Linked DNA regions of Kluyveromyces lactis. The protein of the gene in region 2 interacts with the protein of the main gene of each other region in a biochemical or structural test. Links are inferred from orthologs where the notes say so. Each region holds a gene or a part of one and is shown on either strand. Other genes may lie near its edges.

Evidence for each region. The genes of interacting proteins can lie anywhere in the genome.
Region 1: the proteins of PRP43 (region 2) and PXR1 are reported together in a solved structure, tested with the Saccharomyces cerevisiae proteins (2 studies listed by BioGRID, with this or other methods). The link is inferred for Kluyveromyces lactis from reciprocal best matches to the Saccharomyces cerevisiae genes PRP43 and PXR1.
Region 3: the proteins of PRP43 (region 2) and SQS1 form a complex in vitro, tested with the Saccharomyces cerevisiae proteins (2 studies listed by BioGRID, with this or other methods). The link is inferred for Kluyveromyces lactis from reciprocal best matches to the Saccharomyces cerevisiae genes PRP43 and SQS1.

What each region holds. Positions count from the first base shown.
Region 1 is NC_006039.1:1,220,836-1,224,149, forward strand, and holds PXR1 (telomerase inhibitor), read right to left. Parts: upstream 1,883-3,314; coding exon 1,067-1,882; downstream 1-1,066. Other genes in the region: KLLA0_C14113g (uncharacterized protein), read left to right, coding at 1-1,034; importin PSE1, read right to left, coding at 2,295-3,314. UniProt on the Saccharomyces cerevisiae protein: Involved in rRNA-processing at A0, A1 and A2 sites through its action in U18 and U24 snoRNA 3'-end final trimming. Negative regulator of telomerase through competition for binding to EST2 with TLC1.
Region 2 is NC_006038.1:40,445-45,227, reverse strand, and holds PRP43 (DEAH-box ATP-dependent RNA helicase PRP43), read right to left. Parts: upstream 2,945-4,783; coding exon 641-2,944; downstream 1-640. Other genes in the region: KLLA0_B00583g (protein kinase subunit beta), read left to right, coding at 1-409; protein kinase COQ8, read left to right, coding at 3,491-4,783. UniProt on the Saccharomyces cerevisiae protein: Pre-mRNA processing factor involved in disassembly of spliceosomes after the release of mature mRNA.
Region 3 is NC_006040.1:1,646,706-1,651,237, reverse strand, and holds SQS1 (Sqs1p), read right to left. Parts: upstream 3,290-4,532; coding exon 1,067-3,289; downstream 1-1,066. Other genes in the region: CNM67 (Cnm67p), read right to left, coding at 1-654; cysteine protease ATG4, read left to right, coding at 3,556-4,532.

The sequences.
Region 1 (3,314 bases), on a different chromosome or scaffold from region 2:
GATCTATCCCTGTTGGTTACTCGTCCAACGATGACGAGGACACCAGAGTCGTCATGGCTGACTACTTTGCATGCGGTGATGAAGATGTGAAGGTTGATTTCTATGGTATCAACATGTATGAATGGTGTGGTAAATCTACATTCCAAGAATCTGGTTATGCTGATAGAACGAAAGAGTTTTCCAACCTTTCAGTTCCAATTTTCTTCTCAGAATATGGTTGTAACGAGGTGAAACCTAGACAATTTCAGGATGTTGCTTCTTTATATGGTGATGATATGACTGATGTTTGGTCAGGTGGGATTGTTTACATGTACTTTGAGGAGGACAACGAATATGGATTGGTTTCTATTGATGACGATAAGGTAAAAACCCTAACTGATTACAACAATCTAAAATCCGCCCTTGCCAGTATCTCGCCAACATCCGCTACTAAAGATAAGGCCACTACCACCAGTTTAGAATGTCCTTCCACCGGTATATACTGGAAAGCCTCGACAGATTTACCCCCAACTCCAGACAATTCAACTTGTGAATGTCTTGAACAAGGTCTTTCATGTATAGTAGCCGACGATGTTGCTACTAAAGATTATGCTGATTTGTTTGGTATTGTATGTGCGGACATAGATTGTTCAGATATCACAAACAATGCAACAACTGGTAAATATGGGGCATACTCTTTCTGTGACTCAAAAACTAAACTTTCCTACCTTTTGAACAAGTATTACGAAGAAAATGATAAAAACGAATCTGCTTGTTCGTTCAGCGGTTCAGCTACACTTGTGTCAGCTTCAAGCACTGCCTCAAGCTGTAATGCTGTCCTATCATCAGCAACTGCAAATGCCTCCGGAGGTTCCAGTTCTGGAACCAGCAGTAGCAGTGGATCTAGCTCAAGTTCTTCCTCTTCCTCATCATCATCGAAATCATCTTCTTCTGCTTCAAACTTGGAAGTGAGAAAATCAGGGACCTCCTTTGCTGCGCTTATGGTGTGCACCATCTTTTTCATTGCTGTCGAATGCAGTGTAATATTAGTTTGATATCTTAAATAAAAGTATACGTATGTTATCTATCAGTCTGTTACCATAAATATTTCGTTCAGAGCTTTAGCATCCATCACTGCAGCCCGCTTTTGTCTGATCCATTTCGCGCGGACCGAGAGCCTAGTAGATACGGCATCTGGAACAACAGCAGCTGAATCTCTAGGTTTCAGCATTTGGTCTCGAGTAATTTCGTTGGTATCTTTTGAATGTTTATCCTTGAGTTTCTTCTCTTTCTTTTCCTTCTTCTCTTTCTTAACCTTCTTCTCCTTCTTGTCCTTCTTCTCTTTCTTCTCTTTCTTCTCCTTTTTGACCTTCTTAACCTTCTTCTCTTTTTTTACCTTCTTTGTCTTCTTCCGATCGCTAACCTCACTATCAGACGATCCCTCTACCGGTCTCTTCTTACCCATACTATAACTTATGAGTTGCTTATTTTCAGCATCCCATGTACTTGCAAGGACTTCTCCCTTCACAAAGTGTATCCCCCATTTCCCGTTTATAATATTGTCGGTTCTTTGCTTATCCAATTCATCTGAAATTGTCTGCTCATTACCATTTAATCTTCCAAGTAATCTTTGGAAGACGTCCAATCCCGTACATTCACCACTATCAAATTCATCTTGCTTCTCTTTCTTTTTGAGTTTCGCTCCCAACCCAAGATTGTCATCTTTGATAGAAACCTTGATATGTGATGTTGTAGAATCTGGAACTAATCCCAAACCGGAACCAGGTTTCCATCCTAGTTTCTCTAGATGTTTGTGTCCAAATCTTGATGTATTGTTACTCCAAGTTGTGTTTCTTGGATCCAATCCAAACCTTTGTTTATTCCTTGCTGCTGCCAAACCCATCTTGAAATTACTGAATAATGTATTTATATTATGATAATGAAAAGTGTGCTCTGCCAAATGGGGACAGTTCACAATGAATCTTTTTGCTATCAAATACTTTCAGTCTCATTTCATCTCATCTCATCTCATCGCTTTAACAATTCTTTTCAGTATTTTTTTCTTCACAGGATTTCAAGAAAAAGAAAAAAAGAGTTCTCTATTAAGAATAATGATAATGGAAATTGTTGGTGCCAGGCGGGTTGCATAGTATAGCAAAACTGATACAAGCTTGAATCTATTCCGTTCAATAAGTAGAAATGTCTATGCAGTATAAGAAGACTCATATGCTAATTCATAAAAATCAGTATAGAGGGCTAAACATGTACATATATCTGATAATTGGCCTTGGGAAATTAAACCCACGAATCATAATTCAAGCGAACCATTTGTGTATGGTTTGCATGATTTCCGGTGGGTATCGTTGAAGTAGAGCAGATGCTTGTTCCTGTGGGATAGTACTTAGTAGTTTTTTTGCAGATTCTACCACAGCAGTAGCATTTTTTCCACCGATAGACTTTTGATGTAAGGCTTGTATCACATAATCAACGATTTCGGCTGTGTTACCTTGAATCACAGGCGAATTGTGGTCTATCAATTGTGCCAACATTCTATAATTGAACGCGGCACATTCTTCATCGTGGATAACGGGGAAAGTCTTCAACCAGTTGGCAGTATACTGTTCAAAGTTTGGAATGCTGGAGCCGTAACTGCTCAAGATCTTTGCAATGGCGCAAGATGCATTTTCCGAGGAATTAACGTTATCTTCAGATCTGGATTCTGGCATGTTGACGATTTGGAATAAAGTTTCCAACGATCCCAAACATATGTCAGAGTAGGTGTTGGGGGCATATTGTGCACATACTCCGAGTAGGTATGCAGTACCCTGGCGAATGGAGGGTTCAGGGAATGTGAGGCACTCCTTAATTTTCTGAACGAAATGCTGTTTGAAAGGTGCAGAGTTATCGCCAGTGTATTCTATCATATCAGCAATTGCAATCAAGGCGAACAATAAAATGAATACCTCAGTCTCCTGCAAGTATGAATGTATTATTGGCCATAAAGTCTGGAACTGCTGTAGATAAGAAACACCTGCTGATTTGAAAACAGCAGCTAAAGATTTGTTAATCTCGTCAAGCAAATCTTCATCGGTATACTCATCAAGATCGTCATCAACATCTTCGTTGTATTCGTCATCCTGATCGTAACGGGATTTTGTTCTTTCGTAGACGTCGGTTAAGTTATTGTTCACACCTTGTGTAAATTGTGACAATTGCTCTTGATTTAATCCGTTGTTTCCGACAATTCCCAAACAATCAACAAGAGCATAGTGATACGACTTAGTAACTTCTGGCATCGGTTCAGAAATAATTCCAGAAATTAGCTTATTAGATGC
Region 2 (4,783 bases):
TGAAGAAGACCCTGATGATATGGGAAACGGATACACCCGTTTCAAAGAGGAACAACAGCTAAAGACCGATTATGAGTATACTCAGGATATCCCTGCTGTCTTTACAGATCCTTCGGTGATGGAACAGTATTATCTCACATTAGACCAGCAACAGAACAATCAACAAAATATGTCATGGTTAACTCCTCCACAACTTCCACCTCAGTTGGAGAATGTTATTCTCAATAATTACAACAAAAATGCTGAACCAGGTAGTGAAAATAATTCAGGTGCGTTGCCAATTCCTAACCACGTCGTTCTTAATCATTTAGCAACGTCTTCTATTAAACATAATACTTTATGTGTTGCTAGCATCGTTAGATACAAAAGAAAATATGCAACACAGATACTATATGCGCCATTGCAATGAAACCACTCCTAGAGATTTGATTTTATATTTTTTACACTGAAATATCATAAGCGAAGTTCTTATGGGTTGAATATAAAACGTACACCATACCGAATTTCAATAAAATGCAGCAAAAAAAACGTAGACTTTGAGTCGCGTGCTAATAATACCGCACAATACTTCTACAATAAGACTTATCATGCTGATTCTAAGGTTAATCTTATTATATAAGTTACACATCTATATGCTTGGTTATTTCTTAGACTTTTTAGATTTCGCACTTTTTTTTTTTTCTTGTTGTAGCTCCACCATTTTATCGAGCTTTTGCTTTACCCTTTCTAACGATAGTTTAATGTCACCTTTTTGGAAGTGATCGAGGTCATAATAAGCTGGTGCTAATTCTATTAACCATTCAGGTCTAACTGATGTTACAGTTCTAATGTAGTTTTTGGAGGTTAGAACGAATTCATTGTATACAACCCATTCGGCATCATGGCCCAAAACAGTTGAAGGATGTATCAAAACATCTTGGTTATCTTTGACTGTGATATAACCTTTTCCGCCAGATCGTTTTTTTGCGACCTGCATAAAGAAGCCTGCAGCTAACGCTTTTCTAATGTTATCGAAATATCTAGGGGAGTCATAATCTGTAGTGTTCAACTCGAGATTGTAACGAACCATCAACCTTTCCAATTGGTTGCGGATGTTGTCAGCAGCAGATAGAGATCTATAATTTAAAAAGTTGTCGCGGCACCACTTGTTGATCCCGTACTCATAAGCTTCGTCTGACTTGAATGCATGGTAGACATTCAATAATGTTAGGTGGTCGCCATCAGGATGTGCAAATATGTTCTTTGCGTCATCTGATCTTTTCTTATCTTTCGAAGGACGAATGAAAACACTAGGTACGGATAACATGGCGACAATCGTTAGCATCTCTTCGGAACAAGAAAATTCGGGGGATCCAATCAACATTACCGCAAGCATTGGATCAAGAGGGAATTGAGAAGCCAATCTACCCAAAGGTGTTAAATTACCATCGTCATCTAAACATGCCAAAAAGTTTAATTCTTCTAAGGCTCTCATCATAGTTTCTGGGGCAGGAGGGTCCATGAAATCGAAATGCACCAAATCGTCAATGCCTAGTTTCTTTAGTTCTAAGACTGTCGAAGAAAGATTACTACGGAGAATTTCAGGATATGATTGCTCGATAAGTTCCTTTTTGAAAGCTTCTTCAGTATATAGTCTGAAACACTTACCAGGTCTGGTACGACCAGCTCTACCAGCTCTTTGTTGAGCTGATGCCTTTGAAATTGGAGAGACCAAAAGGGATTCAACTCTAATTCTTGGGTTGTAAACTTTTTGCTTAGAGAAACCAGGATCAACAACATACACAATACCGTCAATAGTCAAAGAGGTTTCTGCAATATTAGTAGATACAATGACTTTTCTACCAGGTCTTCCATTATGGGATTCAGGAGCAGGTTCAAAAATGCGCTGTTGTTGATGTGGAGGCAAAGAACCGTATAATGGATATACAGAGATAGGACCACAACCTTGCTCTCTAATTAACTGATCCCCTTCTAATGATATTTTCCTTACAGCATCTTCAATCTCATCTTCACCGGTTAAGAATAACAAAATGTCACCCTTCTCCTCCGTAGCATGGATCTGTAAAACAGTTCTTATAGCACTATCCAAATAATCTCTTTGGAATTCTGGTGTATAGTAGATCTCCACTGGATGTGTCCTACCAGGGACAGCTAAAAGTGGCGCCTTATTAAAGTATCTTTGGAATTTCTCAGCATCTAAAGTAGCAGACATGATAATAATCTTCAAATCAGGTCTACGATCAATAACCTGTTTCAAAAGACCCATCAAGATATCTGTTGCCAAAGTACGTTCGTGTGCTTCATCTAAAATGATACAAGAGTAACGTTTCAAGTCATGGTCTTCCATGGCTTCTCTTAACAACATACCATCAGTCATATATTTCAAGATAGTTTTATTAGAGGTCTTATTTTCGAATCTAATGGAATAACCAACTTCTTCGCCTAGTTTGACGTCCATTTCTTCAGCAACTCTCTGTGCCACAGACATGGCAGCAACCCTACGAGGCTGCGTACAAGCAACTTGAGTATTTTGTAAATGTGGCATTTCATCGAACAGCACAAATTGAGGAATTTGAGTGGTCTTACCGGAACCCGTTTCACCAACAAAAACCATGATCTGGTTTTCTTGATAGATCTTCAAGAATTCATCTCTTTGAGCGTGCACTGGCAAGTCTCTTCTTACCTTTAGAATACCGAAATATTTCTCTGATAGTGAGCCACCAGTGAATGGATTAACTGATCCATTTTCCAATCTTTCGGCATCGGCCGCAGTAGTGTGATGGCGTTGCATCCCGCTGAACTCACCAGAATCATGATGAATTAAAGGCTCTGCTGCTGGTGGAGGGTGATCTTTGGTTAATTTTTCTGCGATTTCAGCTGCATGCTCCGGAATAGAAGTCTCAACAGCAGACACATGCTCGTTTGAAAACCTTCTTTTGCCCATCGTCAATTACTCAACGTTTGATGTTTTGCAACTGGTAATGCGAATAATCTCTAACGGAGTAAACCAAACTCAGCAGTAGTATCTAATATTCAGGGGATTTTATAACCACTTAACCTACTATCTCTAGTATTGAACTACACTAGATGAGATGAGATGAGATGAGCTTAATGTTACAATTTGCATTAAAATTTTTAAAAAAGAAAAAACTACACGTCCATATGTCAAAATCGCAATTCCATCATTACCCGGATAACAAAGGTTAGAATGGCAAGAGCAAGCAAGCAAACAAGCATCTATTTGAAATTCAAAAGATGGATTATTCTGCAAGATATCTGTACGATTCGACTCTCTCATGAAATAAGGAAAGGTAATAAAGTAAAGACAGAGTCTTAATCCATTCTTATTACGCTGTATATTCATGAATTTGACCATTGACTCGTAGTATCATTGGATAGATCAAATACTTTCACCCTTTATTTTTGATCTTGTGATATCTGATAGTTCTTCGGCTGAATTAATTGATATCGAGAAGTATCGCTGTATTCAATGTCGAGAAAAGGGCTATATCAAGCTATCTGTTTATCAGAGTCCTTCTGCAACGTGGTAAAAAATTCTGCCTCGATTGGTAGACAGTCTCTTGATATTTGGCTAAAAACTTCCACTTTGACAAGACCGGTACTGTCTAAATTTCAATGGTTTTACGACAAGGACTGGGAACATGCCCGTAAACTTTCTGAATCCGTCAGAAAATCTACGAAAGGGCACTCTTCTAAAAAAGCACACCTTAGCAAGTGCTCAGTCAAGAACAAAAAAAATGTGAGACATTTTTCATCTTATCACAGGTGTTCTAATAAAGCAGCTGACGCTATTCCAGAGGATAAATTGGTGAACAAACAAAAGGCTAATAAACTGGAAAGTTCAGAAGTCCCTTCATCACGTATCTCTCGGCTTTTTCATTACGGCCACCTAGCTGCTAGTGTGGGTATTTCTGCTGCATCTCAAAGTATCACTCAGCTGAGTCGTGGCCAATCATCAAGTTTTAAAGATTTACTGTTATCAGATTCTAATGTTGAAAGGATTGCAAATAAATTCTCTCAAATGAGAGGAGCAGCATTAAAGTTGGGCCAACTAATGTCATTCCAGGATGAGAAGGTTTTACCTCCGCAATTATACACGATACTTTCAAGAGTTCAGAACAGTGCTAATTATATGCCTCCAAGACAGTTGGACAGGCTACTGGCTAGAGAATTGAGTTCTGATTGGGAAAAGAAATTCAAGAGTTTCGACAGGACTCCTATCGCTGCAGCAAGCATTGGTCAAGTTCATAATGCTGTTTTGCACAACGGCGAGGAATGTGTCGTGAAGATACAATATCCAGGAGTCAAAGACTCTATTGACAGCGACCTAAACAATCTTCTTATGTTATTAACTGCTTCCAGTTTATTACCAAAGGGATTGTTTTTGGATAAAACCATTGATAATGCTCGTAAAGAATTAAAGTGGGAATGTGATTATCATAGAGAGGCTAATGCATTGAAGCATTTTGCTAGTTTGTTGAAAGACGACCCTGTTTTCGAGGTACCGTTTGTATATGATGAACTGACGACAGAGAACATCATAACTATGCAGAGAATGAAAGGTACTGAAATCACGAAGCTTCCGGTTAACACACCACAAGAAGTCAGGGATTATATTTGTGATAACATAATGAGATTGTGTCTACAGGAGATTGCTCAATTCAAATACATGCAAACGGATCCTAACTGGGCCAATTTTCTATACAACTCCAAAACCAAAAAAATTGAACTTTTAGATTTCGGTGCTAGTAGAGGTTTCCCC
Region 3 (4,532 bases), on a different chromosome or scaffold from region 2:
AAGTTCTGTGGTTTTGAGTTCTGTTGTTGTTGGTGGATCATGATCATTTAACGACTGCTTTCGAGAATCTTGGAATTTTTCTTTCAGCAGATCCTTAGGTTGAGACGTAGAAGAGTTTTTTCCATTAACGTTATGCTGTTTAATTTTTGATAGTGGAGTTGATTGAACCAGCAGGTGTTCTTCAATGGTTGTGCCTTTAGGATTTGGCATATACGGCATCGCAGACACTTGTGCTGCAGAATCATGAAATTGCATTTGCTTATTCAATTTGGGATATTCGACCGATGTTATCCTCCGCTCACTCAGGTTAGATTCTGATGCTTTATTCAGATCTTGTTCCTTCAATATTGGTGAATCAACCTGCACTCTTCCTTCGCTCTTTGAATCCTGCACATTGTTCTCATTCTCAAACGAGCTATCATTTTTTGGGATGATTACACCTCTCGCTTTATCGTACTGTTCCGCTTGAGCAAGTAACTTGTTCTTTCCGACTAGTCTGTCCATAAAATCATGAAATTTGAGCGGAGATTGAGAAGATTGCTTATCGACCGTTAAATCAAATTCACTATCTGTATAATCAAACTTTTCTTCTTGTTTGGCGTCTGTTTGGTTTCCAATGAAAGATCCTCTTCTTTTTCCTGTTGGAGAAAGCATTGCGGACTCAATGTCTCAGTATGTGGCTGTGCTTAATATTCGACGAACTGCTCTAGTTTTCAAGCAATCTTTTATTAATATCGATTGCTGCTCATCTATGTTTGTTTACGTTTTATTTTTTTGGTACTTTTATCATGGCATTGTTAAAAATCGTGTTTGTGGTTAATATAATAAAACGACATCAATCTAAAAATTAGTTTTTGGGATCGGACAAAACGCTCCCAGGGTTTTCACCGAACATAACTTTTGAAGATACGGCATACGTGCACGCTTTTCTAGATATTGTTAAAAAAATAGACCATACTGGCCAAGGGCATTCAATTATACTCTATATGTATATGTAGTTATACACTTATCAAGAAACACAGTCTTTCAACAGCGTTGTCGAACAAGACAATGCAGTATTTTACCGTCATTGTTGATTTTCAGAGGTATGGCGTAAACCTGATTTGTTCTTCTTCACCTTGGCCAAGATTGGTTCGTTAATTCCTTGATTACCGTGGGCACCGAGCCCTTGTCCGATATTCCATCCTAGCTTTTCAAGCATTCTTCTTCCAATATTGTCAATCCCAATTTCTGGTGCATCTTCACCCACAATTTGCCCTTCACTAATATTGAAGTTTTCTTTAGAAACTTTCAAGCGAACAGTACGGTTGAACGTGGATTGTGTGTCAGTCGGAGCTTTTTGATCTATTCTCATAAATACAGGTCGTTTTCTGAGTAATTGGCTGATAATGTGATATGCTGGTTTATTGAACCTTGTCTTTTTGGTTTTCTCAACGTAAACCTTGGTCGATTTTCCTTTACCAATATTGGAAGCCTTCATAAAATAATTGTATGCAAATTTGCCGATGATTTTGTTACCGTGGGGATCCAAAGGTGGGAATGTAATGGATTGACGATCGTTACGGTAAAACGCATCAAATTCGTCTTTTATATTTTGAATGTGTAGACCGTAAGGATATTTCATTAAAAGATCTGTAGAGCTTGCATGTGACTGAGACAAGAAATCTTCTTTTGCTCTTCTTTTTTTGGTTTTGTTTATTTGTCTTGTGGCAAACTTATTTTGAAGCATGAGCTTGATGTCTTCGTCCATTCCTGCTGTTTGATCGAATATTAAATGCTTGTTTCTTCCTTTCCCCCTAATATCCAATGAAGTAGTATGGTATTCAATTTTTCGCTGCTTATTGTATTTTAGAGCGTAAGACACGAGATCATCAAGATCTTCACCGAGATCATCTTCGGCGAAAGGTTCGCATTGATCCGCAGTAGAATCATCACTGTCATCATCATCAAAGGGGATATCAGCATATTCCTCTGGCTCTTCCTCTTCTTCAATGAATGACTTGTGTAGATGTTTGTAATAAGCTCTAAATCGGTGTTCAGGTAAGCCCATTTCGGCAATTATTTCATTCATCATTTCATCATCTACCCATCTAGGCTCACTATCTCCGTATATTTCATGACATGAGACATGATAAGAATGAGTCCCAGCTCCGATTCGAATATTGGAAACAAACACTTTTCCTATCGAACCTTCAAAATCATCCTCACAGAATCCAAATGATTCATCGCCAGAGCTATTATCAGAATTTCCTTGTGATATATCTTTTGTTGTAAGTGATGCAGTGATTGTTTTCCCGGGAATTTCTTCAATTGTTAACGACTTCATTGAACTATCAAACTGTTCGATCGTACCACCTGTTGTTATTAGTTCCTCCGAGGATTCAAATTCATAATCTGAACTTATACTAAAACTCTGTTCAACGTCATTTCCATTCTCATCAAAGTCATCATCCGAGTCATAATTTTGTACATTCTCCATCACATTTTGAATATAGCTGTGAAATGGATGGTATGAACTCTTTGGTTTATCAACTTCAATAGAGCCAGACCCCCCGTCTTTGAGATTAAGTTCCACATTGCCTACCCTCAATGTCGGTTGAAATTCGGTACAGTCATTAAGCTTTAATGACCGTTCCTGTACATCAACATCTACAGTTTTAATATAATTATCAGCAGTCTTTTCTTCTCCTTCCATATCTACATAGAACAATTCAGCGTCGTTCGCTGAACTGTTTGATTCCGAATCTCCATTTTCAGAAACCACATTATCAGATCGTATCTTGACAGTTGTGTTTTTACTTGGAATTTCCTGAGTATCAACGTCTTGTTGTTCATCTTCACCATCTTGCTCTTCCTCCCTCAGGGATACGCTTTGCGAGGAGTTGTAACCGTCAGAGTTTGGCTCGTCAAAATGTTGATTCTTTTTCACCAATTTTAATATTAGGTCATGAGAAGGATCATAGAGTTCTTTTGCTTTGATAAACTCCACGGGACGTTTTCTTGATGGCAACCTGCCAGTATCGAGTTCATCAGCTTCCGTCAATCTTCCAGGCCTAAATCCACCAGATCTTAATGAACTCTTTTTTGCAGTGGATCCAAAGTAATAATCTTCAACTTGATGTGGATTCATCAGGTCACCACCTCCTAGTAACAACTCGGATCTATTCCTGTTGATACTGGTACCTCCCCTATGATTCTTTCTTTGCCTTGATTCACCATGTGGCTTGGATTTCTTGCTTTTTGACTTCCCACCACCTCTGGCATTATAATGTTTATGCCTCTTTGCCATTATCACGATGACCTACTGCTTCAAATTCCTAGCAGCTGCAACAAGGGGTGTACCAGGCTTACCTTAGAGTTACGTTCTTGTTATGAAGTATTATTTTCTACATGGTTTTAAATGCATTTTTCATATAGATTATTGTTCATTAATATTAGAAATATAAGTTTCTGCAAATTATGATCAGCATCGTAAAAAGCAAGTGAGTACAAAGTGCATGAAAGTATAGGAAAACGTATCGCTCAATCTTCAAACCCAGCCATCCCTATGCAAATATGGAGTTCTTGTCAAGGATATCACAACATTTAGGTATAGTGGAAGATGTTGATCGAGATGGCACCGTGTTCATATTGGGCAAAGAATACGCTCCCCTTAACAATAAATCAAGAACGGATGTGGAAACAGATGACTCGGCCTTGGAAAGCCTGATAAATATCGTCTCATTAAATCCTGGACTTTTGTCTGACGTACATTCACGAGTGTTCTTCACATACCGCACACAGTTTACCCCTATCCGCAGAAATGAGAATGGACCATCTCCTATCAATTTTACCCTTTTTTTTAGAGATAATCCTATCAACACATTAGAAAATGCTTTAACTGATCCTGACAGTTTTTATTCAGATATTGGTTGGGGTTGTATGATACGCACTGGGCAGGCTCTTTTAGCGAATGCCATTCAAAGAGTCAAGCTTGCCAGGGAGTTCAGAATAAATGCTTCAAGAATAGATGATAATGAGTTAAATCTGATCCGTTGGTTTCAAGACGATGTCAAATATCCTTTGTCGTTACACAACTTTGTCAAAGCAGAAGAGAAAATATCTGGAATGAAACCTGGGCAGTGGTTTGGGCCAAGCGCAACAGCCAGAAGCATAAAAACATTGATTGAAGGGTTTCCCCTTTGTGGAATTAAGAATTGTATAATTTCAACTCAGTCGGCAGATATATACGAAGATGAGGTCACAAGAATTTTTCATAAGGATAGGGATGCTAATTTACTTCTGCTGTTTGCTGTCAGGTTGGGTGTTGACAAAATCAACAGCTTATACTGGAAAGACATATTCAAGATTCTCTCATCACCATATTCTGTCGGGATCGCAGGCGGTAAACCCTCGTCATCATTATACTTTTTTGGATATCAAAATGAAAATCTTTTCTACCTTGATCCACACAACACTCAGCAATCTTCTTTAATGATGGATGATCTTGAATTTTACCGAAGTTGTCACGGACACAAATTCAACAAATTGCA